3 linked regions of the Sus scrofa genome follow. The protein of the gene in region 3 interacts with the protein of the main gene of each other region in a pairwise test. Links are inferred from orthologs where the notes say so. Each region holds a gene or a part of one and is shown on either strand. Other genes may lie near its edges.

What was found.
Region 1: the proteins of STX5 (region 3) and CCDC155 interact in binary tests that used the Homo sapiens proteins (3 or more experiments, as listed by UniProt). The two-hybrid records come from large-scale screens. The link is inferred for Sus scrofa from reciprocal best matches to the Homo sapiens genes STX5 and KASH5.
Region 2: the proteins of STX5 (region 3) and STX3 interact in binary tests that used the Homo sapiens proteins (3 or more experiments, as listed by UniProt). The link is inferred for Sus scrofa from reciprocal best matches to the Homo sapiens genes STX5 and STX3.

Annotation. Positions count from the first base shown.
Region 1 is NC_010448.4:54,474,139-54,481,992, forward strand, and holds the start of CCDC155 (protein KASH5), read left to right. Parts: upstream 1-2,850; 5' UTR 2,851-3,039; intron 3,040-5,537; 5' UTR 5,538-5,631; coding exon 5,632-5,674; intron 5,675-7,854. UniProt on the Homo sapiens protein: As a component of the LINC (LInker of Nucleoskeleton and Cytoskeleton) complex, involved in the connection between the nuclear lamina and the cytoskeleton.
Region 2 is NC_010444.4:11,703,583-11,710,711, forward strand, and holds part of STX3 (syntaxin-3), read right to left. Parts: intron 3,483-7,129; coding exon 3,374-3,482; intron 2,545-3,373; coding exon 2,471-2,544; intron 2,390-2,470; coding exon 2,255-2,389; intron 291-2,254; coding exon 180-290; intron 34-179; coding exon of another isoform or gene 1-33. UniProt on the Homo sapiens protein: Potentially involved in docking of synaptic vesicles at presynaptic active zones. Apical receptor involved in membrane fusion of apical vesicles.
Region 3 is NC_010444.4:8,942,834-8,949,962, forward strand, and holds part of STX5 (syntaxin-5), read left to right. Parts: intron 1-4,753; coding exon 4,754-4,870; intron 4,871-4,948; coding exon 4,949-5,005; intron 5,006-5,178; coding exon 5,179-5,260; intron 5,261-6,313; coding exon 6,314-6,420; intron 6,421-6,589; coding exon 6,590-6,711; intron 6,712-7,129. UniProt on the Homo sapiens protein: Mediates endoplasmic reticulum to Golgi transport.

The sequences.
Region 1 (7,854 bases), on a different chromosome or scaffold from region 3:
ACACTGGCCTACACTGCAGCCGAAGCAACTCGAGATCCAAGCCTTGTCTGCAACCTACACCATCGCTCACAGCAACCCCAGATCCTTAACCCACTCACTGAGAGAAGCCAGGGATCGAACTGGCATTCTCATGAATCCTAGTCAGGTTCATTAACCACTGAGCCATGATGGGAACTCGACAAAAGATTTTTGGTGAAATTTTTTAAAATATGATTTGATGTAGTTCCTTGATGGCCTAGCAGTTAAGGATTCGGCATTGCCATAGCTATGACTCAAGTTTGATGCCTGGCCAGGGAACTTGTTGGTGCTACAGGTATGGACCAAAAATTAAATAAATTTTTAAAAAATGGCTCACCTTTAGAGAGTAGTGATTAGGAGGAGGTGTGAAGGCTTCTGTGCTGCAGGTAATATTCTTTTTTTAATTTGGGTGGTTTCATTAAAGCATTACTCTATAAAAATGTAATTGAGCTACAACAAGATTTAGCACTTTACGTATGTGACTATAAAACAGGTTTGTTTGTTGTTGTTGTTTGTCGTTTTAGGGCCATACCCACGGCCTATGGAGGTTCCCAGGCTAGGGTCGAAGTGGAGCCTACGCTACTGCAGACCCAGGCTAGGGGTTGAATTGGAGTTGTAGCTGCTGGCCTATGCCACAGCCACAGCAACGCCAGATCCGAGCCACATCTTTGACCTACGACGCAGCTCACAGCAATGCTGGATCTTTAAGCCGATGAGAAAGGCCAGGGATCGAGACTACATCCTCATGGGAGTTCCCATCCTGGCGCAGTGGTTAACGAATCTGACTAGGGACCATGAGGTTGTGGGTTCAATCCCTGGCCTTGCTTAGTGGGTTAACGATCTGGCATTGCTGTGAGCTGCAGTGTTGATCGCAGACGTGGTGGCTCGGATCTCACGTTGCTGTGGCTCTGGTGTAGGCCGTCGGCTATAGCTCTGATTCAACCCCTAGCCTGGGAACCTCCATATGCCGCGGGAGCGGCCCTAGAAAAGGCAGAAAGACAAAAAAAAAAAAAAAAAGAAACTACATCCTCATGGATGCTAGTCAGATTCGTTTCTGCTAAGCCACAATGGGAACTCCTAAAACAGTTTTTTAATTATTTTAGTTTTCACAAAATTAACTTCCTCAAAAAAAAGAAAAAGAAAAAAAAGAAAAAGAAAAAGCAAGGAATACTGAAGGAATAAAATGAAAGAATTACATCATACTAATAAAGTTAACAGGGTCCACCACTTGAGAGCCACTGCCAAGAAAACACGTGGCAAACATTCTTTTGAATCTCATAAGACCACTGAGGTGGGTATTATTTGTTCTTATTTTAGGGAAGATGCTGAAGGTTCAGAGAGGTGAAATCACTTGCCAAAGTCACACAGCAATGGCGCTGGGTTGTCTCATTCCACATCTCATGCTTTTCACCACTCACCACATCACCTACCAAACAGGTTCTTTCCCAGATTTTTAACAAACCACCATCTAATAGCCAAAATAATAACCATCAATTAACAAGGATTACCACCTTAAGTCCTTGAGGTAACCTGAGAAGCAATTGTTATCTCCATTTCTGGGAGGAAAACTGAGGTTACGGGAAGGAAGCGATGGAGCCAAAATTCAAACCCAAGAATGTCTGACTCTGGTCTTATCACTCTACACTGCCCAGCAGTTCAGAGGCAAGGATACTGTCCATCCATTCGTTCATTCATTCAACAAAAAATTTTGGGGTGTACACACTGGACCAGCTATGTTTTGGTTCCCAAACAACTTCTTACTGCTAAGAGCTCACAACGGGGGAGGCGGTGGGGAGTGGGGGCGGAGGGAGGTGACAGTGCACAAACTTAGAGTAGATCACATGGTGAGACGTGCCACGAGGACCACTAAAAAACAGTAAGTGGATAGAGATGAGGATCTGAAGTGTAGACAGTGTGTCAGCGGAAGGCCTCTCTTAGGAAGTGACCGCTGAACGCATGATGGTGAGATGGAGAAGAGGATGCAAAAGGATGCCTTTTCAGAGTTCCTGTCGTGGCTCAGCGGAAAGGAATATGACTAGCATCCATGAGGATGCAGGTTCCATCCCTGGCCTCGCTCAGTTAAAGATCCGGTGTTGCCGTGAGCTGTGGTAAGGTCGCAGACCCGGCTCAGATCTGGTGTGGCAGTGGCGTAGGCTCCGATTCGACGCCTAGCCTGGGAACCTCCCTATGCTTCGGGGTGCAGCCCTAAAAAGACAAAAGGCAAAAAATAAAAATTAAAGAAAAAGGATGCCTTTTCTCTGTCTGGGCTAGCAAAGAGGCCGAGTGGGCATAACATCTTTTATCCCAAATGCCCCTCCCAGGGAGTCAATCTGGGCTGTAATCCTCTTCCTCTCTCTAGCCAGAAAAGCTGAAGGTATTTTTTCTCCACTCTCTCCGAAAGGGAATGAATTAAACGGTTTGGGAAAAAATTCTTCGGGGATCTATGACCCCTTCGTGACTGGAGCCCCAAAACGGCTCCGGAGGGGTGAGGCAGGACGGCATTGTGACGGTGACCGGCAGCCCAGCATTGAACAGAGGGCAAAACTTGGTGGCTCATAACAGCTCTCCCTCACTGGGGTCCGTTTCACCGAAACTTGAGCCCACAGAGAAGACCCAGTACAGGGGACGTAGGTGACCCCGCCGCCTCCTCTCAGTTGGGAACCCCTTCTGCCTTAGACGCTCGGCCAATACGCATGCGCCCGCCCCGCCCCGCCCCGCCCCACCAGGCGGGGCTCGCCCGCGGGCATCTCTACGCATGCGCAGCCTTGCTGGTACCTGCATGAGCGCGCGCCTCGCCCCGGTGTGCGCCTGCGTCGGGGGAGGAGCCCGGGAGGGGCGTGGCTTAGGCACCGCGTTCGCTCTCGGTCACGCCTCTGTTTCTTCGCTTTTTCTGGCGGGAAGAGCGCACGCGCGTCTCCTCACGACCCAACTGCCTTTTCCCGTTCGTGGCCTTCAGCTGTGTCCCGAGACTGTCCCGTTCGTGGCCTTCAGCTGTGTCCCGAGACTGGGCCGTGGCCTCAGGTGCGCTCCGGCCTTAGCGAGGTTCCCCAGAGTAGCCGCGTCAGAACTCCTCCTGACTAGCGAAGCCCCCAAATCATAGGCTAGAGCCCCAATGCAGAAGCCTCCCAAGCCTTGTAAAAAGCCTTGTTGAAATCCTGACCAAATTCCTTCAGAAATACTGAAAGGAACCCCCCCGAAATCTTATAGATGACCCCTGAAATCGCGTCAGAATCTTCTAGAAATTCTGTAGTCTTCCCCCTCAGAGCTTGTCAGAGAGCCCCCCTGAAGTCCCATTTCACTCCCTCTGTAAATCCTACTAGAAAGCCCCCAAGGTCCTCCCAGAGATCTCCAGAAGTCTTGTCACATCCACCAAAAATCATGTCAGATTCCCCTCCAAAATCCTGTCAGAAATGTCCGCCCCCCCAAACCCAGAGACTCCCCAGAAATCCAGTCAGAGACCCTCTTGAAATCCAGTTAGAGACCCCCTTATATCCCCAGAATTCCTGCCCAGGTCCTCCTGCTAGAATCTCCCCATCCAAGACCCCAAAGCCTCCCTGGGTCCCTCACCAGGAGTGTGTCCCCCAAACCCTGTCAGAGGCTCTCAGGGACCCTTCCCCACACAGGACCCACAACTATTGACCCTCTTCCGCCGCCCGTCCCCCCCCCCGCCTTGTCCACACCCTGAAAGGGTCTCTCTTCAAAGATCCCTTTTTCTAGGACCTTCTAAAAATGGCCAGGAAGCGTGCATGCCATAGCTGTAGCTCCTGCCTGGCACCAGGGAGAAGGGGGTATGGGGAGTACTGGGTGAGGAAAGGGGCTGTGCGGGTGGGGTGAGGACAGAGAGGCCCCAGGCAACCCTGCGATGACCATTAGCCCCAGCGTGCCCAGTTCAGCCCTGTGGGCACCATTGTCATCGTCAGGGCATCGTCAGGGCACAAAGGAGGGCGTCCCTAGCTGCTCCAGTGGCTCCGGGAAGGCTCCCCAGAGGAGTTTGCTGGGTCCAGAGAATGCTGGGTCTCCATAGGCCATGATGAGAGTGAGGGACCTAGAGGTTGGCCAGTGGAGAGAAGGGTGACAGAAGCCAGGAGCTGCAGGGACCAGTCTGTGTCACACCAGCCTAAGAAGCTGGGATGAAGAGAGAGGGGCTGAGGGCACTAGGGAGCCATGGAAGGGCTGGGAGCTGGAGAGAGACAGGGGTCAGACTCACAGCGGAGGCCAGCAGTTCAAATACAAGCTGATAGAGCAAGGATGTTAGTGCCCCAGGGCAGTGTGGGAGCCCAGGGACCGTGCATCATTCAGAAACGTTTTCAAGGGAGTTGTGGCTCAGCGGGTTACAAACCCAACTACTATCCATAAGGATGTGGGTTCGATCCCTGACCCCTCTCAGTGGGTTAAGATCCAGCATTGCCATTAGCTGTGGTGTAGGTCACAAGCGTGGCCTGGATCTGGCGTTGCTGTGGCTGTGGTGTAGGCTGTGGGCTACAGCTCCCATTCTACCCCTAGCCTGGGAAGCTCCATGTGCCACAGGTACAGCCCTAAGAAGCAAAAACAGGAGTTCCCGTCATGGCACAGTGGTTGACGAACCCGACTGGGAACCATGAGGTTGCGGGTTCGATCCCTGGCCTCGCTCAGTGGGTTAAGGATCCGGCGTTGCCATGAGCTGTGGTGTAGGTCAAAGATATGGCTCAGATCCCGCGTTGCTGTGGCTGTGGTGTAGGCCGGTGGCTACAGTTCTGATTGGACCCCTAGCCTGGGAACCTCCATGTGCCGTGGGAGTGGCCCCAGAAATGGCAAAAAGACAAAAAAAAAGAAGAAGAAGAAGAAGACGCAAAAACAAAAAAGAAAGAAGTGTTTTCCAGAGGAGGGATGAACTGGACAGGAAGGGCCAGCAAGGAGGGTGTCCGAGTCAGAGACCTGGAGTGGGAAGAGCCAGTCCAGTTTGGGGAACAGCACATGGGATTTGGGGTTGGGGGAGGCAGGTGGTGATATCAGGCCACTCAGGGCCTTTGATATCAAGTTCAGGTTTGAGGCTTTGTCCCTGGGGTGCTTGGGAGCCATGGAAAGACATTGGGCAGCTGAGGGGCAGGGCGGCTGTCGGGCCCTGTGAGGAGGGACTAGAGCAGGAGGCTAGAGGCAGGAAGCTGGGTCAAGATCCTGGGGGCGGGGGACGAGGCCGAGGGCTGACCCAGGGCCAGAGGGAAGGAGAGGAGGGGACAGGGTGGAGTCACTGGGCAGAAGGGACAGGGCCGGGGAGCTTGACAAACGGTGTAGAGGAGGGATGGCAAGAGGCAGTGACCCCCCACCCACCAGCCCCCCTTTGACGTCTGCTGCCCACTCCTTGGGCCCCTGTTTTCCCGGCATCCGTAAAACAGGTCGGACCAGGGATCTGCTCTGGTCCAGGCTGGGGTGGGCAAACGGGTTCTGAGAACCCAGAATGGCCTGGGGCAGGGGTGGGGCAGCCAGGTCCCCATCCGCGGGTGGCTGGTCTGCAGAGGCCATTCCCCTGTTTGTCCCTCCAGGAGCTCTCAGAGCAGCCTCTCCCTCGCCGTCCCTCCCACTGATGGAGGGAAGCTCTTAGCTTCACCGGCAGCTGCAGAGCAGCGGGGGTGCCCCATGGACCTGCCTGAGGGCCCTGCAGGTGGCACCACTGCAAAAAGTAAGTAGCCGGGTCCCTGTCTGTCCCCTGGGAGGGTGAGGAGGAAGCAGTGAGTGAAGGGGGCACCAAGCTGTGACCCTGGGACTTGGGAGAGGTGGCTCAGGGGTGACTGAGCCTCCACCTTGATGCTGGGTGGTAGGGAAGGAGTAACCATTGATTAAGTGCCTGCTGTGTCCCCACCTGTCTGGACACCGTATCTCATTTGCCCTGGGGAGGCCGGACAGTGCGAGAGCCGAAGCCTCTGTATGCGCTGTGTGCCTTCCTGTCTCCGGTGACCCACGGTCTCACCCCTCACTTCACTCAGAGCTCTGCTTCCTGTAAGGCCGCTGCCCTATGGCCCTCTCTCCTCTTCCTGCTTTCCTTCTCTTCATGGCACTGCCATCCACTTGTCTGTCTAGTCTCTGTCTCCCCCACTAGAACATGAGCTCCACAGGGCAGGCTCAGTTTTACTCACTCTGGTATTCCTGGTCCATTGAGCAGCGCTGGCCAACCATCCCGCATGTGTAATTATAAAGTTTATTAGTGGCCACATTAAAAGAAAAAAAGAGGAGTTCCCGTCGTGGCTCAGTGGTTAACGAATCTGACTAGGAACCATGAGGTTGCAGGTTCGATCCCTGGCCTTGCTCAGTGGGTTAAGGATCCGGTGTTGCCGTGAGCTTGGTGTAGGTTGCAGATGCGGCTCGGATCCTGCATTGCTGTGGCTCTGGTGTAGGCCGGCAGCTACAGCTCCGATTCGACCCCTAACCTGGGAACCTCCATATGCCATGGGTGTGGCCCTAGAAAAGGCAAAAAGACAAAAATAAAGAAATAAAAATAAAAGAAAAAAAGAAACAGATGAAATGAATGGCAGTAATAGATTTCATTTAATCCAATACGTCCAAAACAGTGTCCTTTCAGCCTGTAATAAATACAGAAATGGATGGGGGAGTTCCCATTGTGGCTCAGCAGTAACGAACCCGACTAGTATCCCTGAGGAAGCGGGTTCAATGCTCAGTGGCTTAAGGATGCGGCGTTACTGTGGCTGTGGTGTAGGCTGGCAGCTGTAGCTCGATTCGACTCCTAGCCTGGGAACTTCCATATGCCAAGGGCGTGACCCTAAAAAGACAGAAAAAAAAGAAAATGGATGGAGTTCCCTGATGGCCTAGTGGGATAAGGATCCAGTATTGTCACTGGTCAACACAGGTGTGATCCCTGGCCTGGGAAGTTCCATATGCCATGAGCGCGGCCACCCAGAAAGTATTGGAATTATTCTCGGTTTTTCATACTAAGTCTTCCAGTGTATACATTACAGTAAGAGCATCTCAATTCATACTCACCACAGTTCAGGTCTCAAGAACCACTGTGGCCAATGGCTACCCTGTTGGTCATGCTGCCCTAGATCAATGTCTGACATGTAACAGAAAGGCAGTTACTCAGTCCTTGAGTAATTGGATGGATGCAAACCAAATGGGTGTGAAGGGGGCTTCAGGGGAAAGATGCTCTGTGCCCTTTCTGAAGCTCGTCTGAGAGCCCACTGCCGTGGGGCAGGAGGCTCCCAGCCTAGACGGGAGACAGGGCCCCCTTCTTAGGGGCTCCCAGCGTCCAGCTGCAGAACCTGCATCTTTTCTCAAGGCTGCAGACCTGGACGCTGGCTTTAGGACGCTCTCCAGGTAGGAAGGCAAGAGGCAGACACCGGCATTCGGGAAGGTGGGGCGGGCTGAGCGAGTGACCAGCAGCTAAACTTTGTCTGCACCAGCAGAGGGCGTGCGGCCACCGAGAAATTGGTGGCCAAAGGCTGAGCCAGTACTGAGAGGCTCCTGAAGGAAAGGAAGGGACACACCCAGGAGAGATGGAGACCGAGGAAGACGGGGGATGATGAGAGAGAGAGAGAGAGCGAAGGAAGGAGGGAGAAGGCTCAGGGAACAGCGAGTTGCTGAGTTAGGGGAAGAGAAGCACAGAGACACAGAGACAGGGAAGAAAATGGGAGCGAGGGACATGGAGACAGAGGTGGGGCGCAGGGGAGAGAGAGATGGAGAGGAGGATGGAGAGAAAGAGCTAGAAAGAAAACTCGAGAGGGGATGGCACAGAGACACAGAGATAGTGACACGGAGGAGGAAGATGAAGGAAAGAGAACAGGAGAGAAGCAGAGTGACATCTTCCTGAGGGGCCTCAGGAGGCAATGTCACATCTGCACTGCAGAT
Region 2 (7,129 bases), about 2.8 Mb from region 3:
CATGTTGTTCTCAATACGGTCAATCATGGCTCCCTTCCCCCGGATACGAGAGGTGGCAGAAGCAGGAAGAGAGATGGGGAGAGAGAGGAGCAGGGTGGGGAGGAGAGAGAGAGAGAGAGAGAGCAAGAGACAGCACACACAATGGATCCTCTTCTCCAAAGGCAGTGCCAGAGTCTCACCTTGCGGGCCTGACCCTGGTACTTCACGGCTCTTTTCGTTTCCTCCCGAGCCTTCTCCACGTGGTCCACTGTGTGCATGACATTCAACTCTATGTTATCTAACATCTCACCCTGCAAAGAACAGACACTCGTCACACCTGGGAAACCCACCTGAGGATGGTCCTACTCAGGTGAGAAAGCAGTTCTCCTTCTTTTCAGCGCCAAGAGGAGCATCTGGAAACTTCACTGTGCAGCCTTCCACAGGACCAACTATCACATCTTCCCCATGACCCTTGACTACCTGTGATGCCCAGGCCGTGGGAGTTGTCCCAGAAACATTCACTCAATTACTTCTCCGAGACAGCACAGCCCCGGGCAGCTGGGGCACATTGTCTAGAGGCTTGGTATGTTCTTTTTTTTAACATGAACTATGTAAGGAAAGAAGCCAAGAAAAGTATATCTCATGTTCTTAGGGCATTACCAAGATGCTGACCTCTTCCTGGTGATTCAGACCTGAACCAAGTTCATTCAGCCTGAACTGAGTGTGTTCACTTCTAGAGAATAGTGCCCAGCACACAGCAGATGCTCAATAAATAACTGAGGTGGGAACAGCTGTGGTTTCTCTAAGATAATTCCAGGCCCCACAACTGACAAACATTGGTTTTTACCAGTTATCTGGTTAAGAGACAGAGGTCTCTTAATAAGATTCCCAACCATTTCTCAGCTATTACTTCCTGACCGGAGAGTTGGTTTCTCCAACTGATTTTCTTCGCATCTTAGGCTGGGAATTCCCTTCACTGACCCAGACCTTCCGAACCCAACCCATGGCTTTATGGGAGTCTTTAAACAGGGAAAGGCACTTACCACCACTCGAATCTCAAACCAGTCCCTCGGCAAGGCAGTGTGGGGAGAAAAAAGAAGAGTGGGAATGGAGGGATGGAGAAGTGGTCTCTGAGGCCAGAGGGAGTGGAGGAAAGGCCCCAGAGCCCAGACCAGGGAATTGATGTCAAAACCAGCCAGGTAGTGCTCAGGCTTCAGTTGGGTTTCCTTCTACAAAGAAAACAGCTTTCCAGCCTTTCCAGGTGGCAGAGCCTGGAAATAGTGCCACCAAACCACAGCACCGTGGCGTATTTAACTGCATCATAAGAACCAGGAGCCATGCGACTGACACCACCATGCAGGGGACAGAGCCTTCCATCCCTGAACCAGAACCAAACAGGCCAGCAACCTAAGCACTGGAAGTGTTTCCAGTTTTCCTGCAAATATTCTTTTGCTCTTTCTTCATTTACCGTGTGGTCTGCTCTTGTTCCTTAGCAAAAAGCATCCAAAATTTTGGAAAAACACATACAGGAGAAGAAACAAAAATGGCAAAACAGGGAGTTCCAGTTGTGGCACAGTGGTTAACAAATCCGACTAGGAACCATGAGGTTGCAGGTTCGATCCCTGGCCTTGCTCAGTGGGTTAAGGATCTGGTGTTGCCGTGAGCTGTGGTGTAGCTCGCAGATGCAGCTCGGATCCCGTGTTGCTGTGGCTCTGGCGTAGGCCAGCGGCAACAGCTCCGATTAGACCTCTAGCCTGGGAACCCCCATATGCCACGGGAGTGGCCCTAGAAAAGGCAAAAAGACAAAAAAAAAAAAGCAAAGCATAAAAACCTGTTAAACCTAACTTCTCATTGTGAACCTGGGAAAAGACCCTATGTATCCATGTCACCAGTGAAATAGTTCCTATCAGGAGGTTGTTTTAAGGCATCATTAAGAACCTGTATTTCTAACTTTAAAAAAAAAAAAAAAAAAAAAAAAAAACAGCAATCCTGAGGCTGGAGGAAACCAGGTACTTGGCAGAGCACAGCAAACCCCATATTAAGTAGAAGTGATTTCCGAGCCAAAGTAACAGGCTCGAAGGACAAAGTTGTGATTGTTGGAAGTGTCAGCACCCAAGTTCATTCCTTTCCCGGCCACACTGGAATTCTCTGATTCCACTGCAAATTCCTAATGATTCTCCAGCCCCACCCGGTTTTCCAGGAGGCCCCTCCTCAGGCTTTGCAGGAGACCCAGGGCTTCCGCCCTCCCTGCCTATGCTGGTACCCCGGGCATTACCTGGTTCTCCACCAGCATGGCAATGTCCATGAACATGTCGTGAAGCTCCTTGATGCTGCTCTCCAGCCTCACAATGTCCTTGTGCCGCCCCTCGATCTCGCTGAGGGCTTGCTTGGAAATCTGAGAGTCGATGATCTACGACGGTCCACACAGAGACCTTCAGCCCCCACCCCAGCAGGGCTCCCTCCTCCCTGCCCCCTGCCCTGCATCACTCACCCCCGAGGTGAAGATGGCAGGGTTCCCACTCTCCAGCATCTCCTCCAGCTCCTCATCCGTTGTCTTCTTGCCAGCTTTATAACAAAAGAAGCAGAGCACACCATTTCAAAAGTTCCCCCCAAGTGGGAATCACACCAACCTCATCATAAAGACCAAGGCCTTTGCAACACTCCAAGGGCCTCCCGACTCGCCTTTCTCCTGAGTTCTCCCCTAGCCCAGTCCATCCCTAACAGGATCAGCAATTCCCTTCCTGAAGCACAAGTCTGATCACATTCCCTCCAGCTCAGAATGCTTACTGGCCCCTTGACTATGCCACAGAGAACAAGGTCCTCAGGAGGAGGAGCCCATGCTGCCTGGGTGACCACCCCCCCATCTGTCCTGACCTCACCCTGCTGCCCAAATGCGCCCCGTCCCCAGGCCCGGGACAGCCGCCCCTCCTGACCACATGTGCTCTGTCCTGGCTGCACCTTTGTTTATACAATTCCTGCACCCAAACCACATCCCGCCCTGCCCTCCACACAGCTGATTCCTAAAGGGCCGGCTTTATTGATTTCTTGATTCCTCACGGCAACTAGCATCCTTCTTTGCTGTCAACAGGCAGCAAGAGATGTCGTAAGCTCAGAAGAGGGCAGCTGGGTAGCAGATGTTTCCCTCCATGTAGGAGGAAACGCCGGTTCCCATGGCAACCGAACACTGGTGCCTGATGACCTGGAGCCACCCTCCAGCCTGAGACACCACGTCCAGGATGCGCCAGTGCTGTAAGGCCTCTCCTCGGCTTGGGCACAAAACAGAAGGCAGAGGCCACCCACGGGGCTGCTCCCTCTCCTCTGGCCTCACAATCTGGGACTGACAAGTGCGTGGCAGGAAAGGGGAAGGGGCACAGGCCAAACTTCAAACACGCACTGATCTCCAGCTGCCGCTGGATCCGCCCTTTGCTGCGTTCACGGAAGTCCACCTGCGCCTCGTTGTATTTGGTCATCACCTCCACAAACTTGCGGGAGAGGACGGAGTGCTGTGGGGACAAGGTCAAAGGCCGTGAGCCCCCGGGGGGAGAGGGAGACGGAAGGTCCACGACTTACAGAACCCCAGCCCCACACAGCCTCCTCTATGGTAGCACCGGGCTTGGAAAAAAGACTCAACTATTTTTTTTTTTCTTGTCACAGCTGCACCCTCAGCATACGGAAGTTCCCCAGCTCTGAGTGAAACAGGAGCTGCCAGCCTATGGCACAGCCACAGCCACAGGGGATCCAAGCTGCATCTGGGACCGACACCACAGCTTGTGGCAAAAGCCAGATCCTTAACTCACTGAGCGCGGCCACGGATCAAACCTGCATCCTCACGGGTTCTTAACCTGCTGGGTCATGATGGGAACTGTGAGACTCAACTTTTTGGTTTTCTAACCTTACACCACTGGGAGAGCCGGCTGACCCTTCCAAAGCATGCTTTCAGTATTTGTTTACCTGCCTTGATGAACTCGTGAAGTAACTGTGAGACCAAAGGAGACCTCTTTGTGAATCTCAGAGGCCCTGCTCTCTAAAGCTGCGGACTCACCTCCTACATCCAAAGGTCCTTGGGCTCATACGCAGACTCATCTCCCCAACTTTTCTTGCATCCAACTCAAGGCATTCACTCAACGGCCCTGGGGCCTAAACTCCTATCTTTATCATTTTGATTCATTGCCCACCTCTCAGCATCAAGCCCTACTCGTTTTTCCTTTGCAAAAATCATCCATATCTACAGTGCTTTCAATCCCATGATCACCGTGCAAATTCAGACCAAAACCACTGCAAAAACCCAACTAGAGACCCACCCACCTCTTGCCTCTTCCCCATGCCAATCCGCTTTCATATGGATACCAGATTATCTTCCTAATAGACTGCAACCTGAAGTTACATGCAGGCTACTCAGTCAAATGCAACGCCCTAGACGGTAGTCACAGGCCTTTGGAATATGGCGCTGTGTTCTCTACTGAAACTCAATATTCACTATTCCAAGACAAACTTTTTACTCTAGTCAGACTGTTCTCTTCATGTCTGCCCCCCACCCCTACCACTTCCAACACACACACACACACACACACACACACATACACACACACACACCCACACACACACCACTTTTGCCCCCATGCCTCTAAGGAGAATCTCTTCCTGGGCCTGTACATGGTGGCACTCTTTTTACTTTTTTGTTGTGGCCAAAGATCAAACCCACAACCTCATGCACACTATGTTGGGTTCTTAACCCACTGAGCCACAAGGGGAACTCCCACAGTGGCACTCTTGCCCATCCATGGCCCAGCCGCCTCTGGGCACCCCAGATCTCCCCGAGCTCATCTGAGGCTGAGGGCATGTGCGTTTCAGCATGTCTTTCTACACGGCTTTCCTGGGGGTCTTGTGTCAAGTTTCCTTGTGCCACTTGAACATCGTGCCATTTCTTCAAGGACAAGGATCATGTGTCTGATGACCACCAAACAGGACAAATGATGACCAACAATCTTCGGAAGGAACACTTTAGTTTCCTCAGCTGTAAACCAGGGAGGCACGCTCAACCCTAAGCTGCCTCTGGGAGCCTCAGAGGCCTCCCTAGAGGAGAGTGTGAGAGGGGCCACCAGGGCCAGACTCGACCCCGTCCCCTACTTCAACCTGGGCAGCTCTCCTCTACCAGCTCTTCAAACTGAATTCCAAACAAGAGCTGTTTTGTTTTTTTGTTTTTTTTTAAGACTCCACTGCTAGAAAAGAGAACCCCCCTACATGATGGTGGGAATGTAAATTCATGCAGCCACTACGGAAAACAGTATGGAGGTTCCTTTAAAAACTAAATATACAACTACCATATGACCCAGCCATCTCATTCGTGGGCATCTATCTGGACAAAACTAATTCAAAAGGATACATGCATCCCTATGTTCAGAGCAATGCTATTTATAATAACCAAGACAGGGAAATAACAGATGAACAGGTGAAGAAGTGGTACGTATACATACCATGAAACACTACTCAGCCATGAAAAGGAATGAAAATGAAATAATACCATTTGCAACAACAAGGATGGAACTAGAGATTATCATACTAAGTAAGTCAGACAAAGACAAATATTATATGATATCACTTATAGTTGGATTCTAAAAAATAATACAAATGAACAGATTCACAGACATAGAAAACAAACTTATAATTACCAAAGGGAAAGGGGGGGGAATAAATTAAGAGTCTGGGATTAACAGATACACACTGCTGTATATGAAATAAACAACAAGGATTTACTGTACAGCAGGGGAACTATATCCAATATCTTATAATAACCCATAATGAAAAAGAATCTGAGAAAGAAATATATACATATCTCCCAGGATACTCACCCCAACTAACCACACCTTACTACTTTTTTTTTTTTTGGTATTTTTAGGGTCACACTTGCAGCATATGGAGGTTCCCAGGCTAGCGGCTGAATTGGAGCTATAGCTGCCAGCCTATAGCACAACCACAGCAAGGCCAGACCCAAGCCATGTCTTCAACCTACACCACAGCTCATGGCAGTGCTGGATCTTTAACCCACTGAGCGAGGCCAGGGATCAAACCTGCGTCCTTGTGGATACTGTTTCTCTGAGCCATGATGAGAACTCCTACCCCACTAATTTAAAACACTCGGAGTTCCCGTCGTGGCGCAATGGTTAACGAATCCGACTAGGAACCATGAGGTTGCGGGTTCGGTCCCTGCCCTTGCTCAGTGGGTTAACGATCTGGCGTTGCCGTGAGCTGTGGTGTAGGTTGCAGACGCGGCTCGGATCCTGCGTTGCTGTGGCTCTGGCGTAGGCCGGTGGCTACAGCTCCGATTCAACCCCTAGCCTGGGAACCTCCATATGCCGCGGGGGCAGCCCAAGAAATAGCAACAACAACAACAACAAAAGACAAAAAGACAAAAAAATAAATAAATAAATAAAACACTCAACTGCCCCCCCCCCCATTAAGTCTGAAAAGCCTCTTTCTTTTTTTTTTTTTTTTTTTTTTTTTTTTTGGTCTTTTTTGCCATTCTTGGGCTACTCCCGAGGCATATGGAGGTTCAAGGTTAGGGGTCAAATCGGAGCTGTAGCCGCCAGCCTACACCAGAGCCACAGCTACGCGCGATTCGAGCGGCATCTGCAACCTACACCACAGCTCACGGCAACACGGAATCCTTAACCCACTGGCCAGGGATCGAACCTGCAACCTCATGGTTCCTAGTTGGATTCATTAACCACTGAGCCACGACAGGAACTCCCCTGAAGAGCCTCCTTAATTCATATATACAAACTGAATCGCTTTGCTACTACGCACCAGAAACTAACACAATATTGTAAATCAACCATACTTCAATAAAAATTTTTTTTTTTTTTTTTTTTTTTTTTTTTGCTTTTTAGGGCTACACTTGTGGCATATGGAGGTTCCTAGATTAGGAGTTGAAATGGAGCTACAGCTGCCGGCCTACACCACAGCCACAGCAACGCGAGATCTGCGCCACATCTGCAACCTACACCAAAACTCCTGGCAACACTGGATCCTTAACCCACTGAGCGAGGCCAGGGATCAAACCTACGTCCTCATAGATACTAGTCAGATGCGTTTCCACTGCGCCACAACGGAAACTCCTCAATAAAAAGTTTTATAAATAAAAATAAATAGA
Region 3 (7,129 bases):
CAGGGAGGCCTGCTGTCACTGTACTGTTCAACACCCCCGCACCCCAAACTCTGATCTCCCTTCCCTTGCTCTGTTTTCTTTCTCTTTCTTTTTTTTCGCTTTTTTTCTTTTTTAAAAAATTAATTAATTTTATTACATTTATAGATGTACAACAATCATCACAACCAAATTTTACAGCATTTCCATCCCAAACCCTCATCTGTTTTCTTTTTTTATAGCATTTTTATGTACATTCTAATGGTTTCTGTGATTACCTTTCTTATGTTTATGGTTTGTCTCTGTTTCCTCCCACTTACCTCATCTCCCTCAAAAAGAAAAAAAAAGTGTGAATGCCATAACGGCAGAGATTTTTCTTCCTGTTTGTTTATAGATGTATCCCAAGTGCCTGTAACAGGGTCTGGCATATAGTGGATACTCAATATTTGTTGATCAGTTGAGTGACTGGCCGCAGATAAGGCTGGAAGAGTAGATTGGTAGCTGGTTGTGAAGATCACTGTGGGTGGACACTAGTCATATTTGTTTCCGCTGAGCCACAACAGCAACTCCCTAATAGTTTGATTCTTTTCTTTCTCAGAACAATGTAATAAGAATAAAATGAGAAATTGAATCATCTTCTTTTTTTTTTTTGGTCTTTGTGCCTTTTCTAGGGCCACTCCCACGGCATATGGAGGTTCCCAGGCTAGGGGTCTAATTGGAGCTGTAGCCACCGGCCTACGCCAGAGCCACAGCCACTCGGGATCCGAGCCACGTCTGTGACCCACACCACAGCTCTCGGCAACGCCGGATCCTTAACCCACTGAGCAAGGCCAGGGATTGAACCCGCAACCTCATGGTTCCTAGTAGGATTCGTTAACCACTGCGCCATGATGGGAACTCTGAAATTGAATCATCTTAGGGTAAAAAAAAAACAACCCTGGAGCGTGGATGAACTGAGAAGCTAGGGAGGAGACTCGTGTGATTGCCAGTAGGAAGGTGATTATGGCAGAGGCCAAAGGGCAGACACATTCAAGAGATGCTGTGCTGAGACCAAAAGAGAGGGTTCCATTAAGTCTTGGGGCGTTATTGCATAGGCATTTAAGAACCACTGACTGCGGGAGTTCCCGTAGTGGCTCAGCGGTAATGAACCCCGCTAGGATCCATGAGGATTCAGGTTTGATCCCTGGCCTCCCTCAAGTTGGTTAAGGATCAGGCATTGCCACAGACATAACTCGAGTCTGGCGTTGCTGTGGCTGTGGTGTAGGCTGGCAACTGCAGCTCTGATTTGACCCCTAGCCTGGGAACTTCCATATGCTGTGGGGTCGGCCCTCAAAAGCAAAACAAAAGAAAACGAACAAAAGAACCACTGACTGGATTCAGACAGACTTCAAAACCTGGGCTCACCACTCATGGGTAAGCTACCTGACTACCCTGAGCTTCATTCCCCTTATAAATAAAAAGGCCACAATAATAGTACCTACCTCAGGGAAGTTGTGAGGATGCTTTGGTTTATTTTTTCTTTCTTTCTTTCTTTTTTTTTGCTCTTTAGGGCCACACTCACAGCATATGGAAGTTCCCAGACTAAGGGTCGAATCACAGCTGCTGGCCTGCGCCACAACACTGGATCTGAGCTGTGTCTGTGACCTACCACAGTGCAGCAACATTACCCACTGATCGAAGCCAGGGCTCAAACCCGCATCCTCATGGATACTAATTGGATTTGTAACCTGCTGAGCCACAACGGGAACTCCCTGGTTTATTTTTTCAATCACTCACATTATTGAGTGACTTTTGGCTGCCTGGTTGTGGGGTCTCAGTAGCAAAGAAGACAACTGTGGTCCCTGCCCTTGGGAAATTCCTTTCTGAATGGGTCATCGGAACGCTGTACAAGAAAACAGAAAAGACACTTTCAGGTAGTGGCAAATCCTAATAAAGAAAGCAGGTGAGCGAGTTATTCGGGGTAGGGGAGGCCTACTATTTTGTTTTTTTTGGCTTTTTAAGGCCACACTCTTGGCATATGGAAGTTTCCAGGCTAGGGGTTAAATCAAAGCCACAGCTGCCAGCCCACACCACAGCCACAGCCACAGCCACTATGGATCCGAGCTGTATCTGCAACCTACACCACAGCTCACGTCAGTGCCAGATCCCCCACCCACTCAGCAAGGCCAGGGATCGAACCCACCACCTCATGGATACTAGTGGGATTTGTTTACACTGCGCCGCAACAGGAACTCCTGGGCCTACTTTATATGGTGATATAGGATGGCCTGGCTGTGGAAGGGACACGGAAGCCTGAATGGTAAGGGGGAAAAGCTAGTTATCCAAAGATCGGGGGAGGAGGAGAACCTTCGAGAAAGTGGGAATAGTAAGGGGAAAGGCCCTGAGGCCTGGGCAGCCTTGCTGCAGGAGATTCACATGGAAAAGGTCGTTGTGGCTACAACACAGCAGGTGAGAAGGAGAAGGGACGGCGAGGCCAGAGGCGTGGGCAGGGCTAGACCATTGGCCCGTGTAAGCCAGGTAGGGAATTTGGGTTGTATTCTAAATTTAGTGGGAGGCTCTTGGAAGATTTCAAGCAGAGGGATGAAATGCGCTCTTTTTGGTGTAGACAGTCACTGCAGTTGTTGTGTAGAAAACAGATTGTAAGGGGCAGACTCTAAGAGGAAGCTCACTTAGGAGGCTCTGGCAGATTTTTGAGAGACAAGTGGACTGTTTGGACTAGGATGGCTTTGGTATAGACTGGTGGACACATTCAGGGTATATGTCGGAATCAGCTGGGGTTTTTTTTGTGGGTCCATGTGGTTTAAGGGAAGAGAGATGAGTTGAGGATGACTCAAGTTTTTGGTCTGAGCAACTGGTGAATGGTGGTGCCATTTACCAAAATGGCAAAGAAGGGGGAATGGTTTTTTTTGAGGGGGAGTTAAGAGTTGTTTTCTACGTTCAGTTTAAGAGGACGTCGCATGCTGCTTGGGTTGCGTAGCACGTGGTCATCAAACACGGGGCTGCCATTCTGTTCACAAAGCACCCGGTGCTCAGTAAACGCTCAGTGTAGACTCTGTTTTCTTGTGGCAGCAGGTCAAGTTAAGAAGGTGTCGGCATGTGACTTAGAAGCTTCTAGGGGAGTTCCCATCATGGCTCAGCGGAAATGAATCTGACTAGGAACCCTGAGGCTGCGGGGGTTCGATTCCTGGCCTCTCTCAGTGGGTTAAGGATCCGATGTTGCCGTGAGCTGTGGTGTAGGTCGCAGTCACGGCTCGGATCCGATGATGCTGTGGCTGTGGTGTAGGCCAGTAGCTGCAGTTCCGATTAGACCCCTAGCCTGGGAACCTCCATATGCCACGAATGCGGCCCTAAAGAAAAAACAAGAAAGAAAGAAAGAAGAGAAGCTTCTAGCTCAGATACCTAGGTGGGAAGTGGTGCCATTTTCTGAGCTTCTTGGGGAGATTTGGTGGAGGGGGGAAAGCTGGAATGCAGTTTTGGACACATGGTTGTGAGGAGACTCCGTTAACTCCAAAGAGACAGACCAATCAGCAGTGGAAATTGTCCCGGCATCCTGAAAGAATGGTTGGAATGGGATAGCAATTGGGGGGGTACTAATGGGGGGGGCTGTCAGCAGGACTCCAGAAGGTGCCTGATCTAGTTATTTTTTCTAGCCTATTTCTTTCTTTTTTTTCTTTTTTGTCTTTTTAGGGCCCCACTTGCGGCACATGGAAGTTCCCAGGCTAGGGATTGAATCGCAGCTGCAGCTGCCAGCCTACACCACAGACACAGCAGCAGAGGATCTGAGCTGCATCTGGGACCTACACTGCAGCTCATGGCAACACCGGATCCTTAACCCATTGAGCGAGGCCAGGGATTGAACCATTTCCTCATGGATACTAGTTGGGTTCATTACCACTGAGCCACAGGAACTCCCCACATTAGTAATTTTTTAAATTTTATTATTTATTTTTATTTTTATTTTTTGTCTTCTTAGGGCTGCACAAACAGCATATGGAGGGTCCCAGGCTAGGGGTCAAATTGGAGCTGCAGCTGTTCCCCGCAACAGTAATATTTATTAATTATTTGTTTCTTTTTCTTTTTCTTTTTTGTCTTTTTAGGGCTGAACCCACAGCATATGGAGGTTCCCAGGCTAGGGGTCAAATTGGAGCTGCAGGTGCCGGCCTACGCCACAGCCACAGCCACTCCAGATCTGAGCCAAAGCTCACAGCAATGCTGGATCCCCGACCCACTGAGTGAGGCCAGGGATCCTGTGTCCTCCTGGATATTAGTCAGATTCATTTCCGCTGAGCCATGACAGGAACTCCAGCAGTAATTTTTAGAAGGCATTCTGTATGTAAAAATTTTATTGATTGCTCCTGGGAAACCATGCTGCCTTTGACTCTTTCCATCTCCTGAGTCCTGCCCCAGCCCCGCTGTTGGTCAGTGTGCTGTGGGTCAGAGATTTGGGCCTTTTAAGGGGTTCTGTGGCCATGCGCCTGGCCTCACAGCAGGGGTGGGGGTGGGGCCGCCGGGTGGAGGGAGTCAGCAGCTCAGTTATTTACAAATGTCACCACCTCCTTCTGGCTCTCCTCTGCAGGGACCGAGCCAGAGCAAACGCCAGAGCTCGGACCGTCCCAGCAGGCCTTTCTGGTCTGAGTGTCGGAGATACCATCACCCCTGCTAGAAATGCCCACCTTGCCGTCCCTGCCAGCGATGTCCATGTGGGGGAGACGCTGGCCGAGGACACCCCCCTCCCTCCCAGTGGATACTCAAGTTTTTCTGCTTCCTCTTTCACCAGGACATCAATAGCCTCAACAAGCAAATCGCCCAGCTTCAGGATTTCGTGAGAGCCAAGGGCAGCCAGAGCGGCCGGCACCTGCAGACGCATTCCAACACCATTGTGGTCTCCCTGCAGGTGGGACCCGGGAGCGGGGGAGGCAGAAGGCGGACAGTTGTTGTCTCCTCTGGCTGACCCTCTCTCCTCTCCTTCCAGTCGAAGCTGGCCTCCATGTCCAATGACTTCAAATCAGTTTTGGAAGTGAGGACAGAGGTGAGAAGGAGCTGTGTAGGGGGCTAGGAGTCTGGGGATGAGGGTCCCCGAGGGAAACAGGAAAGGGACAAGTGGAAGGGAAGGGCGGGGTGGTCACGGGCCGCAGGCGGGGTCTCTTTAACACGCCGGCCTTCCAGAGGCCTCAGGCGCTTCCCCTTCCTCCCCAACCCCAGAACCTGAAGCAGCAGAGGAGCCGGCGGGAGCAGTTCTCCCGGGCACCCGTGTCAGCCCTGCCCCTCGCGCCCAACCACCTCGGTAAGTCACAGGCAGCGCAGGGAGCCTTGGGGGTAAGGCGCCGTTACTCCGGCTCTGAGGGTACCCTCTAAGGCAGGCGTTGGGTAGGAGAAAGGAGGGCCAAGGACGGTGCTCGGCTTGATCTCTCAGAGGCCAAAGCTGAGGGTGGGATGTGCAGTCCACACCTGGTCTCCCACATTCATTCTCACCGTTGGGGTGAGAAGTCAAGTTCAGAAGGATGACCGTTTCTCTCTTTTTTTTTTTCTTTGAGGGCCACACCTACGGCATCTGGAAGTTCTCAGGCTAGGGACGGAGTAAGAGCTGCAGCCACCAGCCTACGCCACAGCCACAGCCCCGTGGGATCTGAACCGAGTGTGTGACCTACACCACAGCTCATGGCAACGTCAGATCCTTAACCCACTGAGCGAGGCCAGGGATTGAACCTGCATCCTCACGGGTACTAGTTGGGTTCATAACCCACTGAGCCACGATAGGACTCCAAGAATGACAGTTTCTAGTATTTTTTATTTTTATTTTTATTTTCTTTGCTTTTTAGGGCTGTACCCTTGGCATATGGAAGTTCCCAGGCTAGGGGTCCAGTTGGAGCTACAGCTGCTGGCCTAGGCCACAGTCACAGAAACGTGGGATCCACGCCATATCTGTGACCTACACCACAGCCACAGCAACGCCAGATCTGAGCCATGTCTGTGACCTACATCACAGCTCATGGCAACACCAGATCCTTAACCCACTGAGCAAGGCCAGGGATCGAACCCTCAACCTCATGGTTCTTAGTCGGATTCGTTTCTGCTGCACCACGATGGGAACTCCAACAGTTTCTAGTATTTGTTGTGCACCTGTTCATTTTATTTACATTCCATCATCTAATTTTGGCAACCACCCTTTGAGAAAGCAGCTATTATTATCCCCCGTTTTATAGCTGAGGAAACTGAGTCTCAGAGACGTCCAGGGTCACAAGGCTAGTAATTGCCGGAGCTGGGATTCAAATCCAGAGCATGTGGGCTTTGAACCTTTTAACCACTAAGGAGTGCCGTGTCTTCTTTCTTCCCCCAGGGGGCGGTGCTGTGGTTTTGGGGGCAGAGTCCCGAGCCTCTGGGGACGTGGCCATTGACATGATGGATTCTAGGACCAGCCAGCAGCTGCAGCTCATTGATGAGCAGGTACCCAGGCTCTGAGCGGGGGAGGAGTAGCTCCTCTGGTTTCCTCCGTGGGCCACAAGCAAGCGTTTGGAATGTGCCGTGGGTGGAATGGCAAGAGGGAGGGCCCTCAAGAGGCAGGCCCCGCCCTGAGGAAGCTCCCAGGGCTCATGTGCACTCTCTCCCTCTGAAGGACTCCTACATCCAGACCCGGGCAGACACCATGCAGAACATTGAGTCCACAATTGTGGAGCTTGGCTCCATCTTCCAGCAGTTGGCACACATGGTTAAGGAACAGGAAGAAACCATTCAGAGGTGAGACTCTTCCTCTCTTTAACCCTCGGGGGTTGGCATCCTAAAGGTCCCCAGGGGCAGCTTGATGCCCTTTGGAAGAGAGGGTGAACCCTGTCCACCCCCAGGGTCAGTTCACCTCCCTCTGTTCACTCGACAAGTGTTGACTGAGCACCTGTTTCCCACCAGGCCCTGTGCTAGGTGCTGGGGATGTGGGGATGAACAGACAGTTACATCTGTTTCGTGAGGCTTACTTTGTTGTCTTCATACAGAATTTACCAAGGTGGGTGAGGAGAGCTATTAAAGAGAATTGACAAGGAGTTCTCTTGTGGCACAGGTTTGATCCCTGGCCTGGGAACTTCCTCATGCAGTGGAGTCAGCAAAAAAAAAGAATTTAAAGAAATTTTCGGGTAGTGATAAAGGGCTATACCGAGAAAGTAGG